Oryza sativa Japonica Group: one gene and its partners. The main gene of each other region encodes a partner of the protein of the gene in region 2 in a complex. Links are inferred from orthologs where the notes say so. Each region holds a gene or a part of one and is shown on either strand. Other genes may lie near its edges. The genes, in order: protein PLASTID TRANSCRIPTIONALLY ACTIVE 12, chloroplastic-like; protein PLASTID TRANSCRIPTIONALLY ACTIVE 14; thioredoxin-like fold domain-containing protein MRL7 homolog, chloroplastic.

Evidence for each region.
Region 1: protein PLASTID TRANSCRIPTIONALLY ACTIVE 14 (region 2) and protein PLASTID TRANSCRIPTIONALLY ACTIVE 12, chloroplastic-like share a complex: the UniProt entries of both Arabidopsis thaliana proteins name them as parts of the transcriptionally active chromosome (TAC) complex. The link is inferred for Oryza sativa Japonica Group from reciprocal best matches to the Arabidopsis thaliana genes PTAC14 and PTAC12.
Region 3: protein PLASTID TRANSCRIPTIONALLY ACTIVE 14 (region 2) and thioredoxin-like fold domain-containing protein MRL7 homolog, chloroplastic share a complex: the UniProt entries of both Arabidopsis thaliana proteins name them as parts of the transcriptionally active chromosome (TAC) complex. The link is inferred for Oryza sativa Japonica Group from reciprocal best matches to the Arabidopsis thaliana genes PTAC14 and MRL7.

What each region holds. Positions count from the first base shown.
Region 1 is NC_089035.1:33,073,289-33,080,217, forward strand, and holds the start of protein PLASTID TRANSCRIPTIONALLY ACTIVE 12, chloroplastic-like, read left to right. Parts: upstream 1-2,602; 5' UTR 2,603-2,740; coding exon 2,741-2,774; intron 2,775-2,850; coding exon 2,851-2,903; intron 2,904-3,025; coding exon 3,026-3,697; intron 3,698-4,583; coding exon 4,584-4,696; intron 4,697-5,067; coding exon 5,068-5,330; intron 5,331-5,871; coding exon 5,872-5,993; intron 5,994-6,244; coding exon 6,245-6,322; intron 6,323-6,421; coding exon 6,422-6,478; intron 6,479-6,658; coding exon 6,659-6,727; intron 6,728-6,929. UniProt on the Arabidopsis thaliana protein: Involved in plastid gene expression. Acidic transcriptional coactivator necessary for the transactivation of many PIFs target genes (class B genes), particularly during the regulation of hypocotyl growth.
Region 2 is NC_089039.1:29,435,472-29,442,268, forward strand, and holds protein PLASTID TRANSCRIPTIONALLY ACTIVE 14, read left to right. Parts: upstream 1-2,332; 5' UTR 2,333-2,386; coding exon 2,387-2,650; intron 2,651-2,743; coding exon 2,744-2,881; intron 2,882-3,433; coding exon 3,434-3,559; intron 3,560-3,851; coding exon 3,852-3,980; intron 3,981-4,065; coding exon 4,066-4,155; intron 4,156-4,229; coding exon 4,230-4,380; intron 4,381-4,921; coding exon 4,922-5,031; intron 5,032-5,204; coding exon 5,205-5,273; intron 5,274-5,570; coding exon 5,571-5,676; intron 5,677-5,765; coding exon 5,766-5,963; intron 5,964-6,056; coding exon 6,057-6,099; intron 6,100-6,197; coding exon 6,198-6,276; 3' UTR 6,277-6,581; downstream 6,582-6,797. UniProt on the Arabidopsis thaliana protein: Essential for chloroplast development, especially for thylakoid formation. Involved in plastid gene expression, probably by maintaining plastid-encoded RNA polymerase (PEP) activity.
Region 3 is NC_089035.1:36,099,271-36,106,198, forward strand, and holds thioredoxin-like fold domain-containing protein MRL7 homolog, chloroplastic, read left to right. Parts: upstream 1-2,962; 5' UTR 2,963-3,044; coding exon 3,045-3,697; intron 3,698-3,973; coding exon 3,974-4,058; intron 4,059-4,151; coding exon 4,152-4,263; intron 4,264-4,442; coding exon 4,443-4,546; 3' UTR 4,547-4,617; intron 4,618-4,760; 3' UTR 4,761-5,131; downstream 5,132-6,928. Other genes in the region: protein VAPYRIN, read right to left, coding at 5,881-6,345, 6,928-6,928. UniProt on the Arabidopsis thaliana protein: Plays an essential role in early steps of chloroplast development. Involved in the regulation of plastid gene expression. May positively regulate plastid-encoded RNA polymerase (PEP) activity through binding to FSD3 and CITRX/TRXZ.

The DNA of each region.
Region 1 (6,929 bases), on a different chromosome or scaffold from region 2:
ATACGAATGAAAAGAACTACGTAGACGAGACAAACACAAGTAGTACTGCAGTAGTAATAGCAAAAGTAGTACTGCTTTACAAGTTTGTAAGCCAAAAGAAACGGTCACATAAGGACTGAAGAGGTAGAACACTACTGACGATCATGTATAAGGCAAACGTTGGGCCTCATACGCACCACTGCAATGTGCACTCTCTCTAGGAACCAGTACCAGCTTTCAGTGTTCTCACTCTCTACAAATGCGAAAGCCATAGGTAGAACCTGGTTGTTCCCATCACACCCAATTGCTGTCAATATCTGACCTCGGTATTTACCTGTCATAAAAGTTCCATCTATGCATAGAACAGGTCGACAATGCACAAAAGCATTGATGCAAGCACCCAATGAGAAAAAGGCTCTTTGCAGCACACTCTTTGTTCGATCTTCAACCGATGTAAATGTATGTAGGTCATAGTAAGTATTATTATTCCTCTGGGCAATGGTGGCTAACAAACGAGGCAAATTATCATAAGAAGCTTCAAATGTGCCATACCTCATCTCAATGATCTTTTGTTTGGCTCTCCAGGCCTTTGCATAGCTTATGGTGTACTTGAATTTGTTCTCGATGTGCCTAATAATTGATTTTGGTTCAAAGCCAATGTTACCAACAACACTGCTGTACATCTCACTTGCCACAAAAGCTGAAGTGATGTTTCGGTGATACTTCTCCACCCCTTGTAAGTAGCACTTGTGCTCGGTCACAATGCTAACTTTCCAATAATCATTCCATTTACCCTTATATGCATGGACACGTCACGGACATTCTTCCTTCATGCACCTCACTTCATACACATAATTTGTTGACTTGACCACCCTAAACTCTCTCTGCAATGAAACTGCCCAATGCTTCACCGCCTCCTTCATCTCATCCTTATGAGCATACCTTGCACCCTCAATTACCTCGTTCTCCTTATACTCCCAGGGTACATGATCACCCTCTGATATAACAAGACCAGAGAAGTCCTCATTTGCCCAATCAGTGGCCATTACATCACCTTCCTCATCGGATGATGCGTCGTCCTCCGCTTGCTCATTATCCGAATCTTCCCTCTCCATTTCATCAACAATTATACCGACTCTCTCCCCCTCATCCGCCATGCCCATGGCCTGCTCCTCCCTTGGTTGATTTTCCTCATTTTGCATCGATGGTCCAACAACATCCCCTGCATTGCTAGGACCCTCCACATCTTCGGTTTGCATTGAAACATTTGTATCTTTCTCTTGTACCGACACAAATATAACGAGGGGCCATGACCGTTCAAAAGCCATTTCCACATACCGTCTCCAAGCAGCAGTGCTGTCCATCGGCATTAGTTCCCAAAAATAACCTTCTATTGCACGACTCACTACAACAGATACTGACATTGTGTAGACTTCTTGGTCTATTCTAAATCCTCTCAACAACCAACTATAAATTGACTCAAATGTTCTCTCCGCAGGCCTATCGATGCCCTTAGATGTCATTACAAAATCTGACAGATCAACACCATCTGGACCAAATCTAATATTTCCTTCACCGTGAACTATCTGAAATGTGACCTTACTTGACATTGTGCCTGATGAAAACAATAACTGCGTTAACCTCGCATTTCTGTACTACGCCCTAAGTTACATTCTCTACAATATTGTTCTCTAAATTTCTAAAAGTAGGTTACATTCTCCAGATCAAACTAAACTACATCTTACAATTAACACTACTGTCTATGTCTCAATTCATACTATTATATTCTATGCTCTGGATCTACACATATGTGCTGTGTGCTACAGATCTGCTAAAATATATGGAACTAAAACTAAAACGCAACATATGTACTCAAACGTAATATATTAGTACAAATGCAAAAGATGTATGGGAGCATACCTGTGATGAAGTGAGCGAACCAGCAGGGCTTCGCCGCTTCCCTTCTGCTGCCCTCCCCTCTCTCTCTCTTTCGTTTTTTTGGATTTTTAGTGAATATAATGAAATTTCACAGGGGAGGGGCTGGGCTTTATAGGGGGGAGGCAAAAATCGCCCTCCCCCAGGGCGGCAAGGGGGCCGCCTGCAAAATTCCATGCCCCCTCGCCGCCCATTTGCAGGCGGCCCCCCCGCACAGTGCAAAATCGCCCTAGCGGAGGGCGGCAAGGGGGCCGCCTGCAAAATTCCATGCCCCCCCTCGCCGCCCATTTGCAGGCGGCCCCCCGCACAGTAGAAAATCGCCCTCGCGGAGGGCGGCAAGGGGGCCGCCTGAAAAAATTCCATGCCCCCCCCGCCGCCCATTTGCAGGCGGCCCCCCGCACAGTAGAAAATCGCCCTCGCGGAGGGCGGCAAGGGGGCCGCCTGCAAATTTCGTTGACGGCCGTCGCCCGAGAGCGAACGGCCGTCTGCCACGTCATTTTCGCCGCCCTCTGGGAGGGCGATTTTTAAAAATCGCCCTCCCAGAGGGCTGTAGGCGACTATTTCCGTCAATTTTCAAAATGGAAAATTATTTTTGTAAAACTTTTAATAAAAAAAATTATAAATAAAAAAAATTCGAATTTGAAGTCCACCGGATAAACCCCGTGTTCCTCTTCGAAAACCTCTCCTTGTTATCCTGTCCCCTTCCGAAGACCAAACCGGCTACCTGAACTTCGGTGCGCGTCCATGGAGCTCAACCCATCCGCTTCCCTCCCCTAGCTCTCTCTCGTCCACCTCGGGTTCCAACCGCAGCATCGGAGGCGGAGCCATGGCGTCGTGCTCCCGCACTTGGCTCCTCCCAGGTGACCTCTCGCCCCTCATTTCCAACCGCCAATTCGCACGGCTCAAGCGAACTCACCTCCCTCCAATACTCCGCAGGCATGGCGCCGCAGGCCACCGCCCAGACTGTTCCTCGCCCCCTCCAGTCCTTGGTAACTCCTCCCCCATCGGAATGCCCGAGAAAATTGCTGAAATTTTACCGCGTTCCCGTGCTCCCAGTTGTCATGGGTGCTGAGTATTTTTTTATTTTGATTTGTGTTTGGTGCGTGCGCAGAAGGTGTTTGCTGGATTGCCTCACCGGAGAAGGGTGCTGTTTTCTGGTGTGTCGAGCAGAACGCGAAGAGGCAGGATCAGGAGCGTCAAGGACGACTCGCTCCATTTTGATCCATCTAAGATCGAGGCGCCACCGTACTCCAGTTACTTCGACTCCACGTCGGGCCAGCTCGAGCCGGCGTCGGGTGCTCGGGCAAGCATACCTGGGCAGGAGTACTGGCCGGAGGGCACTGCATCCCGCGTACGCGCTGCCCGTGCACCTGCACCGGTCGGGGAATCAGCTGGGACACCGTCGTTTGGTAAGAAGCCCGGGAGTAGAAGGAAAGGGTACAAGGAGCAGGTAGCATCAGCGACGGCAGGGAGAGGCACGGAGACCAGTGGAGATGAGGGAGAGTCGGTTGTGGCCATTGAGGCCTCATCAGATGAGACACTGGAGGAGACAAAGGATTCATTGGATGAGTACGTCGTTTATGAGATGCCCAAGGAAGAAAATTTGAGTGAATATGAGATGGACAAGATGATGGGACGGCCACACCCGTTCGTTGACCCGCAGAAGGCAATGTCTGTAGGGGAACCAAAATCTAGTGAAGAGCTGTGGTGGAACTGGAGGAGGAAGTCTGAGGAAAATGAAATGTGGTCAAGATGGCAGAGGAGGCGTCCAGATGTTGACACGGTTAGTTCTTGATTGGTTTGAACTTAATAAATGACTTATAAGTCTTTTTTACTTAAGTTTTTCTGCCTATTGTCACTTGTTAACATAACCTAGTAGCGAATATGATGTACACAGTATGGTTCTTATTCTCCACTCCTCCTGCTGCATGTCCACACCACAATTTTGAGGGTTTCAATTGTTTGTATGCTAGTCTTCGTATACCCTATTTTGATAGCACAAGGCACAAACACTAAGGTAGTACTCCCTCTGTCCCAAAATATAAGAACCTAGTATTGGATGGGACGCAGGATACTATATACTTTGGTTGGACACATCCCATTCGGTACTAGGTTCTTATATTTTTGGGACGGAGGGAGTACATGTAGTTTTGTGTGTGCCAAAATATCCAACCAAAGTATAGTGTTTGTAGTGCTAATATTTCCAGAAGCCACACAATGTCGTCATGATCATCGTATGCATCTTCTAGTGTATAAAAGATGCAAGCAGAGTAGTGTACACAGTGATGAGCTGGTATTTTTATTCTGGGAGTTCAAAATGAGATGAAATACTTAACCATATATCTTGGGTTCAGACAGAATTAGGTTCTTCATTAGCCTAGACTGGTAACATTTATAAGGATCTTCTGGGGTCATCTCTATTCCACGAATCCTAAAAGCTGTGTGGCTCAGTTGAACGCCTATTCCCCCATACTAAATCCACCACCTGGTAGATACACGTGCACAGCTTGCAGATGTGGCATTTCCTATACATGGCTTATCAATTTAATCTATATTGTTGGTTGATGTTTTTAACCTTTTTCATTATTCAGATTAGTGTTTCTTCTAACTTACAGCTCTGTGTCTTGTCAGTTATAATTTAAATTGTAACACTCATTTCATTATTGTAGGTCTTTGCAAAAGCAATGGCAGAAACTGGGCAGATCAAAATATTTGGGGACCACCCTACCAGAACAGAAGCTGCTCTTGCCAAGGCAAGAAGACATTTATTCAAAGAGGAAAGGTTGGCTGAATACTAGAAATTATTTTCTCAAAATTTAGTGATTTTGCTTTTCGTGGGTCTTCACCATATGTGAAAACCGTGCTTTTAATTTTAATATCTTCACCATATGTGCAATGATACTCTTTAAGCTTATGTAGACTCTTTAACTGACCTTTGGTATCCCCTCGTTGATTTATAACAAATATTTGATGGATGTTATTATGTCTAGTTGCCTACCTGCTGGTTTGTACTTCAATGTTACTTGTTATGACAGCAGAAAAAAATATTGACACAACGTCCTTTCAACATGATATTTTCACAGTATTCTTAAGGTATATAGTTCTATCTTGCCTTCCGTCCATTCTTATATTGGATATACAATGAAAACACAGGTTAGAAGCAGAACAAAGGAGACTAGAAGAAATAGGGCCAATAGCATACTATTCGGAATGGGTTGAAGCGTATAAAAACAAAGACACTTCACGAGAAGCTGTACAGAAACACTTTGAGGAGACTGGCGAAGATGAGAATACTCAACTTATAACAATGTTTCAACACCAAACTGCTGGGGAATTCCGTATCATGATGGGCACTGATGTTCGCATACAACGAGATCCTTTGGCAATGAGGATGCGGGAAGACCAGATCAAACAGAGTATATCTTCTTTTCTCAATCCTGATCATTTTATATTATTGACATCTACAAGCCGCTTTTGCTGAATTTATACATGGTCCATCCTACAATAGCTTCTTTCTTTAATCGTATTTATTCTGTTAAAATATATTGTATGATAAATCCTGGAAATTGAGCACATATTATGATCTTAACTTAGCACAGAAGTAGTGTTGGCATTTACCTGAGAATATATTTGGAACATCCAAACTACTTGTTAACTTCTATGGTTTGTTTTTGAAATAAATATGACAAACCAAACTTTGTTTCCTGTCCTGCTTATAGACTGGCATGATCCTGGAACGGAAGTCACTGGGTTTGAACACAACATGACATGTTTTCTCCAGTTTCACGTGGCACTGTTGTGACTGTTTGTATTTTTATGATATCTACATTGTTTCTGTATAAATGCACCTAAAATGGTCTATTAGAAATGTTTACAACTAGTATATTCAAACAAGTATTTCAGGTATACCCTGGTGCAGTTTACATGGGAATAATCTTTCCATATTAAAATATGCAGTTTGGGGTGGTGATCCTGTTTACCCAACCATTAACTACGTTCATGATCCTGACGAAGTAGCGGACTACAGGGGTCCAGAATTTCATGAGCCTACACCTGAAGTTGTACCTTACTTGATGGAGGTATGTCGTAGTGCTTCCACACAACTTATAGTATTTCACAATGTGCTGCCTAAAATTTACTGGATTCATGACGATGTATGGTTATTGATTTGGAAAGCCATGGCTGCATAAGTATATGTTACCTGTTGTTATTTATAACAGTACAATAGTATAGCACAGTACTAACAATGCCAGTCATGCGACAACTGGCGCTAAGCTGCTAATAGGACTGATGAAGCTCTAACATGATATATCGCCTTTCCCCTTTTAAGCATGGTATAATGATAACAAAGGAAGAGCTATATGCCCGTTTAAATGAAGAGATGGAAGACATCAATCAGGACATTACGGTATACGTTTAACTGTAACTCTGGTTTGGTATTAATTGAATGTTGAGAATAGGCATCACAAATACCTCTTTTACTTATCCTGTCTTACCTTCTTGACAGTATCTTCCTGAAGTCAGAGATCCCATGGCTACTGCTGTTGATATTGGGGAGCATTCTGTGAGTATCCATCCTAAATGCTTCTATTTTTTACCAAAACCTCTCAGTACAGGAGAAATAAAAAAAATGTAAATTCTGTTTCTTTGGGTTCATAACTGCAAAGTAATGCTAGATTATATAAAAGCTTCTCCATACAAACTTACGCGCATTTCACTGTGATGTTTTCTACTTTTCAAATAGTACAACGAAGATAGTGATGACGATGAGGAGGATGCTGACAAAGTTGTTGCGCAGCCTGAGTCACTAGAGGTATAATACTGTACTGTTTACTTGATGGAAATGCATGCAATCTGCGATTCTCAATGTAGCCTTGCGAATTTCTTCTTATTACTGGCAATGACAACAGATCTTTCAGTTCATATACATGCTTATTGGAAGCTGAATGCCTCTCTTGCTGTGCATGGAAATAGTTGATTTATTGATGAGATAGTTATCGATACTTGTCCTACTT
Region 2 (6,797 bases):
TGGGGCCAACTGTGAGTGGGGTGGGTACATATAGGTCAGGTAGTAGTAGGTGAGAGGAGTCCCAGGGCGGCAGCAGAGCACGGTGGGGAGTTCGACGAGGCGCGCCGTGCTGGGCCCGGGGCTGAGCTGTGGGCCGGCGCTTTCGGGGTGGGGGCCACGCGTCAGTGGACTGTGGGATCGATTATCAGTCTCTGATCTTTCTTTTTTTTAAAAAAGCATATCAAACTCTCCCACAAAACTTGCTCAAGGGTGTGTTTGAGAAGAAGTGGATTGAGTAGATTGAGAAGATACGCAAAACGAGGTGAGCCATTAGCTCATGATTAATTGAGTATTAATTATTTTAAATTTTAAAAATAGATTAATATGATTTTTTAAAGCAACTTTTCTATAGAAATTTTTTACAAAAAACACACACCGTTTAGTAGTTTGGGAAACGTGCGTGTGGAAAATGAGATGCTTTCTCCCTCAATGTCCTCCAAACGAACGCTGCCCAAGTAATGTTTCATTTTTTTCAGGTATGTATTATTCTTTGTGTTTTTATAGGTATAAGTATAACACTCCTAAGTTAAACCGTTTTCAGCAACGCTGAGTTTTTCTTTTAAGAAAACAAATCATGATTGATGAGTTTCTACATGGTTTTTGGAGGAAATTGTCTGAAATTTAACGACATTTCTATGCACATGTACACTGAATGGAAAATGAATAGTAGCTCAATGAAAATAGAACATGGGCGTGCTCATGATGGCTAGCGCACATCATGAAAGTCGTATAATCATTTCCACCACAGTTAGGCCCGATCAGGAATGATTCTTTCCACATGAATATTCACTATGAATCCCATACAAATTAATCATATCATCATAGAAGACGTATGTTTTAAAAATCATGGAATAGGAGATATAATCAAGAAAATATAATGTATATAGCTGGAGCAAATATATTAAAAAAGAGTAAAATATTTCTAATTGTCTTATAACGGATAGTGTAGCAGTGACAATTTTTTCAGACAACAATACAATGTGCATATGTTTTCATGTATCTCTCTCTTTCAGTAAACGTATTCCCGGTCTAAATACACAAAAACAACAAATTATATATATGTAGTGCATCTATTGTTTTTAGGTGCCATATAATATCTATATTTACCATCGTATGGACACTGATATAAGAATATTTTTTTTGGAATAATGTTATAATAATATTAAAAATCTTAATTTCTTCATATATGAGTATATGACTAGATAATAGAATCCTTTATTGTTCTCTCTTTCTTTTTTCTTCTCCACATGATCTTAATATATGTTCCACATGGTTTTCTCGATTAGAACAGATCTGCCATCACCTTCTGAGCACAAAACGCGCGCGCACATAGATAGATAGATAGATTTCTAAAAAGATAAAAATAGATAGATAGATAATATTGGTATGAAACAAGATTAATTGATTCCCTCCCCTGCCTCAAAGTTGAATGTTGTTGCCAGAGATAGGTCCTTAACGGGCTTTATTGCTGCTGAGATGAAATCATTGGCAAGATGTTTTACTTAAGTTTCTTTTGTTCATGTAAGCGTAAGCCATAAGCCGCAGAGCTGATGAGGTGGTTCATATGTTAGCTAGAACAAGCTAGCTTGCTGTTCACTTGGTTTACTAACAATGTATCCCTGGTTGTATAAAGGATCTTGTAAACTCTGAATCTTTTTACGAATGAATGGGTCAACCCTGATATTAATTTTTAAAAACATTGAACGGCAGGAGCTCTGCTGGATATATTAGAACCTTTATATTAAAATATAGAAGAAAAAACTATCTCCGAGAATCTCATCGATGTATTCCTTACAGTCAAGACAGATAATATATGAGGCCCTTGGCTGGCCTTTGCTGTGGTCACTAGAGGAGAGTAGGGCTTCGGCTGGTCAGTCGTCACCACTGCCGCTCTCCTCGGGTTCGACTCTCCACCGCTGTCACTCACTCTGTTGTCGCCACCCAACGAGGCCCACAAGAGAGGAAAGAGAGATAGAGGGAAGGTGAGGAAGAAAACAAGATGAGGAGGAAGTTGCTGACATGTGAGTTCTACCTGCTAACTCAACGAGTCAAGTACGGTCAACCTACCACGTTAGAGAAAACCGTTTTCCAAACCATAAAGGAGTTAATTTGTATCAGTTTTTGAAGATGGGAGATGCGCTATACCAGGTTGTGTGGTTGAGGGAGGTGATTCAATTAGGAGCGAACGATAAGGGAGCTAATATACACTTATTCCTCGCGAGGTTATAGATTTTAAGGCCCATGGGCCATTCATTTGAATGGGCTAAAATCTCGTCTCGTCCATCGCAGCAGTAGATAACGTATTCTTCCATCGCAGGAGGTGCGCTTCCTATCCCCATCGCCACCCATGGCGACTCCCGCCGCTTCCCCTCTCCTGCTGCCGCTCCCCCTCCCCCTCCCGGCCTCCACCTTCCCGCCTCGCCGCGCCGTTCCCTGCGCCCGCCGCCTCGTCTTGCGGCCTCCCCGCGCCGGACGCCCTCGCCTCCGGGACCCGCCTCCCGCGGCACCCCCACCGGCGGCGGAGGAGGTCGGCGAGGAGGAAGAGGACGACGATGCCCCCCCGCTCAGGCTCCTCGAACCGCCCCAGGAGGACGACCCCTTCCCGCCCGAGGTGCTCAATCTCTTCCCGCCTAGTTGCTTCCGTTGCTCACATCTCTTCTGCTCGCGCGCATGCATGCATGATGAACAATGTCGTCGTGTGCAGATGGAGCCGGCCGACCCCGACTTCTACCGGATAGGGTACGCGCGGATGATGCGGGCGTACGGGGTTGAGTTCTTGGAAGGCCCCGATGGGATGGCCGTCTATGCCTCCCGGGACGTCGACCCACTCCGCAGAGCTAGAGTGAGCCTTTCTTTAACTATCCCATCATTATCTTTCCAATTCACTGCAATTGGACATAAGTACTATACTTACAAAGGGGCATTACAAATAGCATGTACAAGTACAATGTAGAGCCAGCCACAGCCAGTACTCACTCCACTCCAGTACATATATATGGTCTACATTCTGTGGTTGTTACTTTACCATTTACTGCTAGTTGGTTAGCGTATGTATGTCCTACTATCAGAACAAATATGAATTCTACTGAATAGTACGAAATGAAGTCAATCTTTGAATTTGTTAGGTACTTTACGCTTACATATCTTCTGCTGCCTTTTATAATGCTATGCAAATAATCAAATATGGTGTAAGGACTGCTCACATTCAGTTTCTGGATGCAACTAAAGCTTGCTAGTGCTTCACTTTAATATACCACATAGAACTGTTCTATTTCAGAAATCATGAGGCAGCTTGCTCGTGTGTTCACTACTTTTTAAGAACTAGTTAAGTTTAATCACACACTTATGCATAATCTTCTTGGCATATATATAAAAATTCATTTCACTTTATCAGGTGATTATGGAGATTCCATTGGAGCTGATGCTGACTATAACTCAAAAACGCCCTTGGATGTTTTTCCCCGACATTATTCCACTAGGCCATCCCATATTTGACATCATTGAATCAACAGATCCTGAGGTAAATGGAGCCCTCTAACCCTCTAATTATGGTATGTTCCAGTGAAGACTGTATGTGCATTCCAGAGTTTGTGTTTTTTAGTTTCTACAGAATCACTTATGAGGAACATTGTGTAATTAAGATTCAATAGCGCTTTGACTGCCCATTCCATCTACTATGAAAATAAGCTGTTATATTGGATAAAAGGGATGGTATTACTCAACACTTGCAACCTGTTTTCTTCCTTCATGCGGTGTCAAAGCTTCATAAGTGATGTAGACTGCATCCTAACGCAATCTGTACCCTCTTGCAGACAGATTGGGATCTAAGGTTAGCTTGCCTTCTTCTCTATGCATTTGATGTAGAAGACAACTTTTGGCAGCTATATGGTGATTTTTTGCCTAGTGTTGATGAATGCACTAGCTTGCTTTTGGCACCAAAGGTATTGTAAATCTAAACAAAATGAATTGTAGTCTTCTTAAACCTGACAATACAGTTTGAATGAATTTACATGCCTGGCTTGCCAGGACGATCTAATGGAACTAGAAGACCAAGATCTTGCCACGAAAATGTTAAAGAACCAGAAGAGAGCAATTGATTTTTGGCAAAAACATTGGGTACACTTCTGTACTATTTGATCAACTTCGCTGGCTTGGGTACATCTAACACTAGCTTGATGGGTAATGTCCAGCATAAAACAATCCCTCTAAAGCTAAAGCGTCTTGCCCCTGACCATGAAAGATTTCTATGGGCACTGAGTATTGTTCAGTCTCGCTCTGTCAATTTGAAACTGAGAATGGGAGCCTTCCTCCAAGATGCAAATGTCCTAGTGCCGTATGCTGGTACATGTTTTCTTATCTGTTCCCCTTTATGCTCTTTATTTTTATTTTCAGTGTGTATTAAGCACCGATTACTAAAATTAAGAATAAAATCACTTAGTTTCTTCAGCTTGCGATGATAATCAGATGTCTAACAGTCTAAGTCAAGGCTGCGGTCTGAGGGATCTTTTGCTCCATTTATTTTGAGCTGGCGAATGCTATAAAGGTTTTTATAATGTTATAGCGCTAATGTTACTTGCACAGTAAATCATAGTTACCAACTGATCCAAGATATTATATTTTCTAATATCAGCACTACTTCTGTATGGTTAAACTCTGTTGGAATAAGGATCTAACTAATATCTATTGTCATTTTTCACACCAATACTACGCTTTATTCCTTCTAGACGTTCTAGTCAGGCAGTATAGTTACATTGAATTACTTAATAATTATCACAAAGGCATGAAATTCAAAACTATACTGTTCTGATAATCAGCATATTCTAGCTTCTGATTACTGATACTGAGTCTCATCATAACTTATAGCTTGCCTATTTGTCTCCAGATATGCTGAATCATTCACCTGATGCTAATTGTTTCCTGCATTGGCGTTTCAAAGATCGTATGGTTGAAGTCATGATTAAGGCTGGGCATGCTGTCAAAAAAGGAGATGAGGTACTGTTTAGAGCTTAGAGTACAATTAGCTTCCTTGTGAGCAAAGAGCGACTAGTTTAATGTTATATTATAATTAAAAATTCCTTATTTGCATGGAAAGTTGCCAACTTTACTTAAATGCCATCCAAAATTTCAAACCAGTTTGATCATTTCATTCTATGGACCCAGTACAGATGACAATTGATTATATGAGTGGAGTGAACAGCTCATTTATGGAAAGATATGGTTTCTCATCACCAACGGTATGATCATGTGTTTGATTTTAATTCTTGCTTGTTCTTGCAAGCCACATCTGTCCTTTCCCACTTGGCAGGACTTAGCATTGAGGAATATTGTGTTGGGTATAAGTATAACTATATCTGCGAGATTATGGTTCTGCTTAAAGGAAACAACTCTAGCATCAAATATGTTGTGCTGCTATGCTAGATTGCTAGGCATGTTAATACGATACCATGCATTGAAACAACTACAGTGTCATTTTTTTTTTTAAAAAAAATGTGACTTCTTATATGGTTGTGTGCACACAACAAACACTACAGAATCCTTGGGAGCTTATAAACTTCTCGAGTGATGCCAAGATTCATCTTGACTCCTTCCTGTCGGTCTTCAACATTGCTGGCTTGCATGATGAGCTCTACCACAATGGTAGGAACTAGGAACACATGACCTTGCGAACCATTCTGCAACATGCCTTGATTCGGAACCTTTGATTTGAACTATCCAATGTGTTGCAGCTGCATTGACCTCAGGAGAAAACAACTTTGTTGATGGAGGAGTCGTGGCAGCAGCAAGAACTCTGCCGACATGGTCAGAAGGTGATGTTCCTGCCATACCAAGCTTGGAAAGAAAATCTGCTCAGGCATTACAAGAGGAATGCCATACGATGCTGGAGTCCTTTTCAACCACTATTCAACAAGACCAGGAGATTCTAGGTAAGGCCCATCAGGATCCCAAGTATTAATTTAGCCTTTTTCATAGTCCTTCCGAGAAATACATGCAAATGATTGGTCTGTAATGTGTTGCAGATTCTGATGGACATATCAGAAGAACACGTGAAATCGCAATCAAGTATGTGAACTAGCAAGTTGTTTTAGCCATTGCTCCCATGAAGTTTATGTTTGTTTGTACCACTTGCTTGTTAACACATTTTTTCTGTTGATATGCAGATATCGGCTACACCGGAAGCTGCTCCTGCAGAAAATCATCGATGCATTGGATATCTACCAGGATAAAATTTTGTTTTAGATAGCTGTATAGGCAACAACTAGTTGAGCTCCAGTGCTAGTTTGCTAAGCGCTGGAGTGTCTTTAGATGATTTTGTGAAGGGGGTTTCACTCACATCTGTAACAGTAGGGATTTCACCTCATTCTTTTAGATATTTCCACTTTGGTAGATAGCAGTATAGTGAAATAAAGACAGTGCCCATGAGGTAGTGTAGTTTCCAGCCAGTGACCTGCAGAAAATCAAGTAATCCCTCTGTTTCGAACTACTTGTGTTCTAGTTTTGTCCTAAGGTAAACATTTTAATATTTGACTATCAATTTCTATAAACTCATATAGTCAAAGATATGTTTGACTTAGGATAAACCTGTAACGGCAAGTAATTTGAGACGGAAAGAGTATGAACCGAAACAAACGAGTTTTGAAATGGAACAGAAGCCGTGTACCTGAAGGGACTGAAATGGAACAGAAATTGTGGTGTTATGCTTAGCTTGTCTGCGTGCTTGGCGGCGTGTCGGTGCCCAATCTCTGCAGTTGTGCAGCCTG
Region 3 (6,928 bases), on a different chromosome or scaffold from region 2:
CAAGCTTAATTAGCATCAAGAAACTAAGCTAGCTCTCTCTCTCTCGCGCGCGATCGATCGTCGGCGGGCGGTGAGTAGAGGCGCACCCGGCGAGGGGGGGGGGGGTGCGCGGTAAAAAAAGGAAGAGAGATCTGGGCGGTGCTCGACGGGGTGGATCGAGATGGGACGTTGGAAAGGGAGCGGGGGCGGGGGAGAGCGACGGGCAGCCGGGAGGGGAGCTGAATGTTAGTCAGTGAAGTGGAGCGGAGGGGGTGTGAGGTTGATGGCAATTGGCAGCAGCTACACTGGCGGGCCACCCGGCCCATTCACGTGGTTGCCGGCCGGCGCATCCGGAGGTGTACGTTATGTATATACGTGCGCGCCATACATACGTACTTATGAAAACCACGTAGAGATTGCACGTAGAGAGTACGTACATAATGCAATGCATACAGTACATCTCCCAGTTGTGGTTGTACTGTACAGTGTTGTGTACACTGTACAGTTATACGTGTGCTGTGCGCACCCTGTGATATATATATATAGAGAGAGAGAGATTCTGTTTATATATGGTTTCTTTTTATTTATGCTTGGATTTCTAATATGATTTTTTGGATTTTTACGGTTTATAGGTTGATGGTTTTTTAACTTTATTACTCCCCCGTCCTATTTTAAGCGCAACCATGAGTTTCCGTGTCTAACTTGAATCGTACATCTTATTTGAAATTTTTTATTATTAGTATTTTTATTATTATTAGATGATAAAATATGAATAGTATTTTATGCGTGACTTATGTTCTTTATTTTTTTTCAAGAATTAAGACAGATTATCAAAGGTTGAACACATAAACTCATGGTTGTGCTTAAAATGTACGGAAGTAGCAAGTTTAAAGGTGAATTAACTAACTCCAATCCTCATAGACCGGAAAATTTACTCAAACCTGGCTTTTGACTTAATACAGTAAGAGTGCCTTATTGCTTTACAAAAGTCTAATTAAATAGAATCATCTACGAAAATATAATCATTATGAAATTTGGATATGCTGTTCATCTCATGCTCTTGGCAAAGTATAAAATTAACTCTCGTGTTGAAAAATGCATTGTACAGCCCTCCTAGCAGAACATGGTCTTTTTACATGGGTTAACAGAGTGAAATGAATAGAACCCCGACAGTGATGATATCTTTGGGATAAGTTATGATATCTCTGGGATAAGTTGGCTCGTATAATAGAATTTCTTGGAAGTTGCATTCGTCGATGAAACGATGATTTTTTGAAATGAGGTATTTGTCAATAGTATTTGTTAGATTTTATTTTTTTATATATATACTTCTAATTTATTTATGAAATAGGAGTAGTGATATTAAAACGATGCAAAGTAAAAGTTAGCAAGCACTGAAGCACCGTCAAAAGTGAATTGGTGGGAGTACTACAGAAGGATTAACAGTGCCCTTCATACAAGTAAATTGGCGATTTGATTTTAAAAAGGTTCGTCGGCAATTTCACAAGTAATCACAAAGGCAGTACCCAAATGCATAGGGAACAACCCATCCTTTTCAATTTTCTTCTTTGTCAGTTACTTCCAGACTTTTTCTGCTTACAATACAGATTCAACAGTTCAGATGTCACTTTCTCATCTCGATCTTTTCTAATTCTAACCTTCTAGTACTATCTACATAAACTACGGAAAGAAGCTAGAGTTCTACTCCCTGACCCTTTCTAGGTTGAGTTTTTTTTGGATGGAATGAGTACAAATTAATGCTAATTAATAATTCATATACACTCCACGTTTGAGCAGAAAATTAAACTGCCAAAAAATACAAGTAATTGCAATTGAGCATATGTTCGGATGATTAATATATTTCATAATCCATTGTATCCAGCGCCATCATCAATAGCTGACACAGTGATACGTGTGATCGGTAAGTGATCGTCGGTCGGCTGCTGTACTGACGGTAGGCGTAATCCTCCAGGGACATGGATCGTCGACAGTACTGCGGAGAAGCACTATAGCTGTGCCCACCACAGTTTGTTTAATGCAGTGAATATTGAGAAAACACCGTAGCTATAGTGTGTTGATCTCTTAGTTTTTTTCTGTTATTGTTTTACATTCACTGTAGTGCAGAGGATGGCTAATAGATAGTTACATACTATTCCCTGCATCTCAAAATAAACGAATTTATTATAGGATCTACTACGGGATGTAATATGTATTAATACTTATGTTCAGATTTTCAGTAGTATCACATCTATAGCTGTTTGGTACGGCAGATGCTCCCTGTTCCATCCTCCACGAATTTCCTTTGCCTTTGAAATTCTAATTTTTTGAATAGGGGAATACTAGTACGCAAACACCCGTATTCGTCCTCTACGTACTGGTGAGCGCCTTAAATTCGCCGCCGAATCGATCGCGATTAGCCATCCGTTTTAATCAAGCTTCCATCGTCTAACGCACCGGCCGTTCTTCGCCGGTGGAGGGACAGACAGGGGATGCGGCTGCGCTACCTGCACCGATCGCGTTAAGTGGGACAAGCAAGAGCGCAAAGACAAGAGCGCAGCACGGTGCGGGAGCCCGGTGGATCAGAGCTAGTACTAGTATATACTCCAGTTTGACGGACCCAGTGCCGGCCGGGCGACGCGCGCCTGACGCCCGCGGATCGATCGATCGCCGCCGCGCGCCTGGACGAGCCCAGGTGCGCTGCCCTGACACGCCACGCGCGTGTTCATCGACAGCGCCTCCTCCGCACGGAGGAAAATGACGTCGACAGCGCCTGGCTAGCACCGTCATTACGTCAACCGCTGACGTCAGGTAGTTGGGCTTGGTCTCAAGTTCCCGACTGGGAGCACATGCATTGGGCCGGATACCAACACCACCAGGAGAAGAGGAATCCCGGCCCGATAGCACATATCACACGGATTTGTGCCCAAATTTGTAATAAGACCAATGTAGTGGGCCGACTAGTAGCCCGTAGCTCGGTAGATGCAGTGATGCACCAATTCGGATAGGGCAGGAAAGAACGGTGAAAGACGAGCGCCGCGCGAAGGCCGGTGAACTTCGTCGCCGTGATGCTTCGTCTTCCCACTCTCCTCCCCCTAAAACCCTCGCCTCCCACCACCGGCTTAAACCCCATCCACGGCCGCCGCCATGGCCACCACCCCAGCCGCCTCCTCGCCTCCTCCGCCCCGCCGCCGCCACCACCACGGCCTCCCAAGCCCGAGCCCCGTACCAGCCACGAGAACCTAGGCGACGACACCCCCGATTTCCCCACAACCAAGCCCCGCAAGCCGCGCCGCGGGCGCCGGAGCGAGGCGGCGGCGGTGGAGGACTTCGTGCGTGGCCGCCTCGAGCAGGTCTTCGCTTCCATCCGGGAGCGCGACCCCGAAGTCCTCGAAGGCAAGGGCGACATCTTGAAGCGAAAGGAGGAGCTCTCCGACGAGGAGGGAAAAGAGGGGACTGGTGAGGAAGAGGGGGAGCTGAAGGCTGTGGTTGAGGAGGAGGATCCCTCCTGGCCTCTGGACGCCGACATCGGGTGGGGGATTCGGGCGTCGGAGTACTTTGACAAGCATTCCATCAAGAATGTGACGGTGGATGGTGTGGAGATCGATTGGGAGAGGGAGGTCGAGGAGGGATGGGTCAAAGAGATCAACTGCTTGGAGTGGGAGAGCTTCGCCTTCCACCCTAGCCCCCTCATCGTTCTTGTCTTCGAGCGCTACAACAGGTATAAATCACTATTCTACCCAGACTCTATTCATGTGAACCCATAGTACCTATATGTTAGGACCAAAGTGATAAACTTCATAAACTTCAAGCTTCTCACTTTATATTGTCATATCTGATAATTTTGAATCCATTGAATCAAAAGTTCAGAACTACCCCTGAAGTAATGCATAAAAATGTAAAAATGTACTATCGTTTTGAGTTGCCTCAGAAAATTAGGTGTTCTACTTCCATGACAGGATGATATGTACGCGTAATGTTTTGCCTTTGTTTATAGGGCAGCTGACAATTGGAAGTTTCTTCAAGAATTGGAAAAGGCGGCTAAAGTTTACTGGAATAGTAAAGATCGGCTACCTCCTCGGGTCAGTGTGAATCATATTTATAGTTAATACTTGATGTATTACGGTAAGGTTATTGAGGTGGTTGGTCATATGCTAAATTTAATTGAGTTCCAGACAGTGAAGGTTGATATGAATATTGAGAGAGACCTGGCATTTGCACTTCAAGTAAAAGAATGCCCACAATTATTATTCCTCAGGGGAAACAAGATATTATACAGGGAAAAAGGTGAGTAGTTAGTTCCATTTTTATGGTAAATCCTGTTCACATAGTTAACAAATTGAATGGAACTTTGAATTATTAAATTCCTTGATTGCTAATATGCACTTTCATGTTAGGCCCACCTTTTTCAATGGTCAAAATTGCCACTCTGACAACACCTGATTGCCTCATTTGCTTGTTTACAGAACTAAGAACTGCCGACGAACTAGTTCAAATGATTGCCCATTTCTACTACAATGCAAAGAGACCATCTTGTGTTAATCCTGAAGCTATTGCACCTCCGTGCTAATCTCCTGCATTTCAGCGCTTATGTATTGAGACAGTGCCTTAATTCTCAACTCTTGGTGAGTGTACACTGTGGTAAGCTTTTCATCCAATGATAACCTGTTCCCCGTTAGAAAACTGTATTCTATACTGGTCATTGTTCTCTTTAATGTCCTTTCTCTGTATTAGTACCTGGTTCAGGGGAGAATATTATTAATTTTGCTAACTTTATTTGCCAGGAAAATAGTCTAAATAGACCAGTGTGGTTATGATGCTTGTATCTGTAATAAATGTATCACTTGAAGAGGAAGGAGAGAAACCTCTTACTGGCTCATCTCAAGTTGGGAGGGGGTCAGGTATCAACTATGTCATATATTTTGGTATGCTCATGTTTTTAGCTGTACACTTTCACCTTTGTACTGTACTCTAACAAAACATACAGTTCATCAAATTTCTAGATAGAACAGGAGGGAATGCTAGCTTAATTATCTGCGTGGCCATCCTGTTAAGGAGGTTGTAAAGTCGATTGTAAACTTTTGAGGCGTAGTGTAATGTCATTTCACGCCATAGATGCAAAATGAAGGCAGGGGGGTCAACCCATTTGTCATCTTATAACTCCTCTGATTATTTTTCAGTGACGTAATTGAATTTGTTGGATGGAGAACGATACAAGACATACCATACATGCATTATAGGGTCATTTTGGTAGAACAATCTCATCTTGTGGAACTGCTTTCAGATACTCTTTTCTTTGGTTAGCCCCCCTTTTTTTATCTTGGGTGGCAAAGGGGGTATAGTTGTGCTCCAAATTCCCATGAGAATGGGATGGCAATGCTTCCCCCGGTCTCAAAAACAAGTCGCTTGAGAATGCGTCCAGTCAGCATAAGTTAAGTTTGGCTATAAAATAAATTAAAGTATATGTTTTGGGTGTTTCCATCTATAAAAATAACTTGAACTATAGGTTTTGGGTATATGAAAATGATATATTTAAGTTTGTCATAACAAGAGCTTTAATAGTAGACTGTCCGCATAAGAGAGATCATGAACAATCTGCCACTGGTTTTGAGTGCTCCAAAAGGAATGCAAAATGCAATTTCTGATCAAAGGTACTAGTACGAAATGGAACACGCGTCATGTCAGCCTATGAAATCAACAATTATTAATTGTTCCCCATATCGAACTATAAAGAAAGGAATCCGATGCAAACATTCACTTTGCTTAACAAGAGTTACTGACAAAAACAGAACAATCACCTCTGTAAACTATAAAACTATACAGTACAATACTGTCACCTAGACTCCTGGTACAAATTACAAAGTATAAACAACAACTCTGGATTGAGCAGTGGACACAACGAATCTACGCACACGATATCGAGGAGGAAGACGAGGACGCGATGCACAACGCCGGCGCGGCCGCCTCGTCGGCGCCACGGCCTCGCAGCAGCAGCGCGATGGCCTCGTACCCCATCGTCACGGCCATCTGGAGCGGCGTCGCGCCCCGCCTGGTGGCGGCGTGCACTTCGGCGCCCATGTCGAGCAGCAGCTCGACGGCCTCGGCGCTGCCGCCTTCGACGGCGAGGTGCAGCGGGCGGTGCCCTTCCACGTCCTCGCACTCGATGTCCATGCAGCCTGACCCGGCGAGCAGCGCGATCACGTCGCAGTGCCCTTTGATGGCAGCAAGGTGGAGCGCCGTCAGGCCGTACTGGTCACGTCCCCGGACGCCGGCGCGCTTGCTGAGGAGGGACTCGAGGCTCTGGAGGTCGCCTCGCCTCGCCGCCGTCATGACCAGTTCCCACCGTTCCAGGACGTCCACCACTTCTTGCTACACCCACCGAACAACATCGTAACTACACCAGTATAACTTAATTTGTAATAAAAACGCGCTGCTTAGAGTACACTTCTTGCAAAACAATACTGATAATGCTGCTCTTGAAAAGTAACAGAAGTACTGTTCAACCATGTCATTTCGCAGACAGAAAGTCCCATGCTGGCCATTTATGCATTTCTGGTGGACAATAATGGAATTGCACTACTGTAGCGTCGTCCTACTCCTATCATGATTCACGAGCGCATCGACAGGTCACATAAGCCAAGCTACCTACGTACATCCTCCAGCTGGTCCATGATCCTCCCCGTCGGTTCTGTAACTTTTGTACGACCAGTGATGCTTTACAAGTCTACAACTAAATCAATGTTTTCCTAATTTGACACAAACGTTTTTACGACCTGCTAGTGCATTTAGGACCACACAGATTATGGTTCACATTCACACATGGTTGCACGGTTAGTTACCAGGAGGAATCTTTGTCGAGTTGCAATTAAAAAGCAGCATCCGAATTCCCTGAGCTTAGGTACACGACAGTAAGAAGGACAGACAGGTAGATTCTAGTAGGAGTAAACTTACA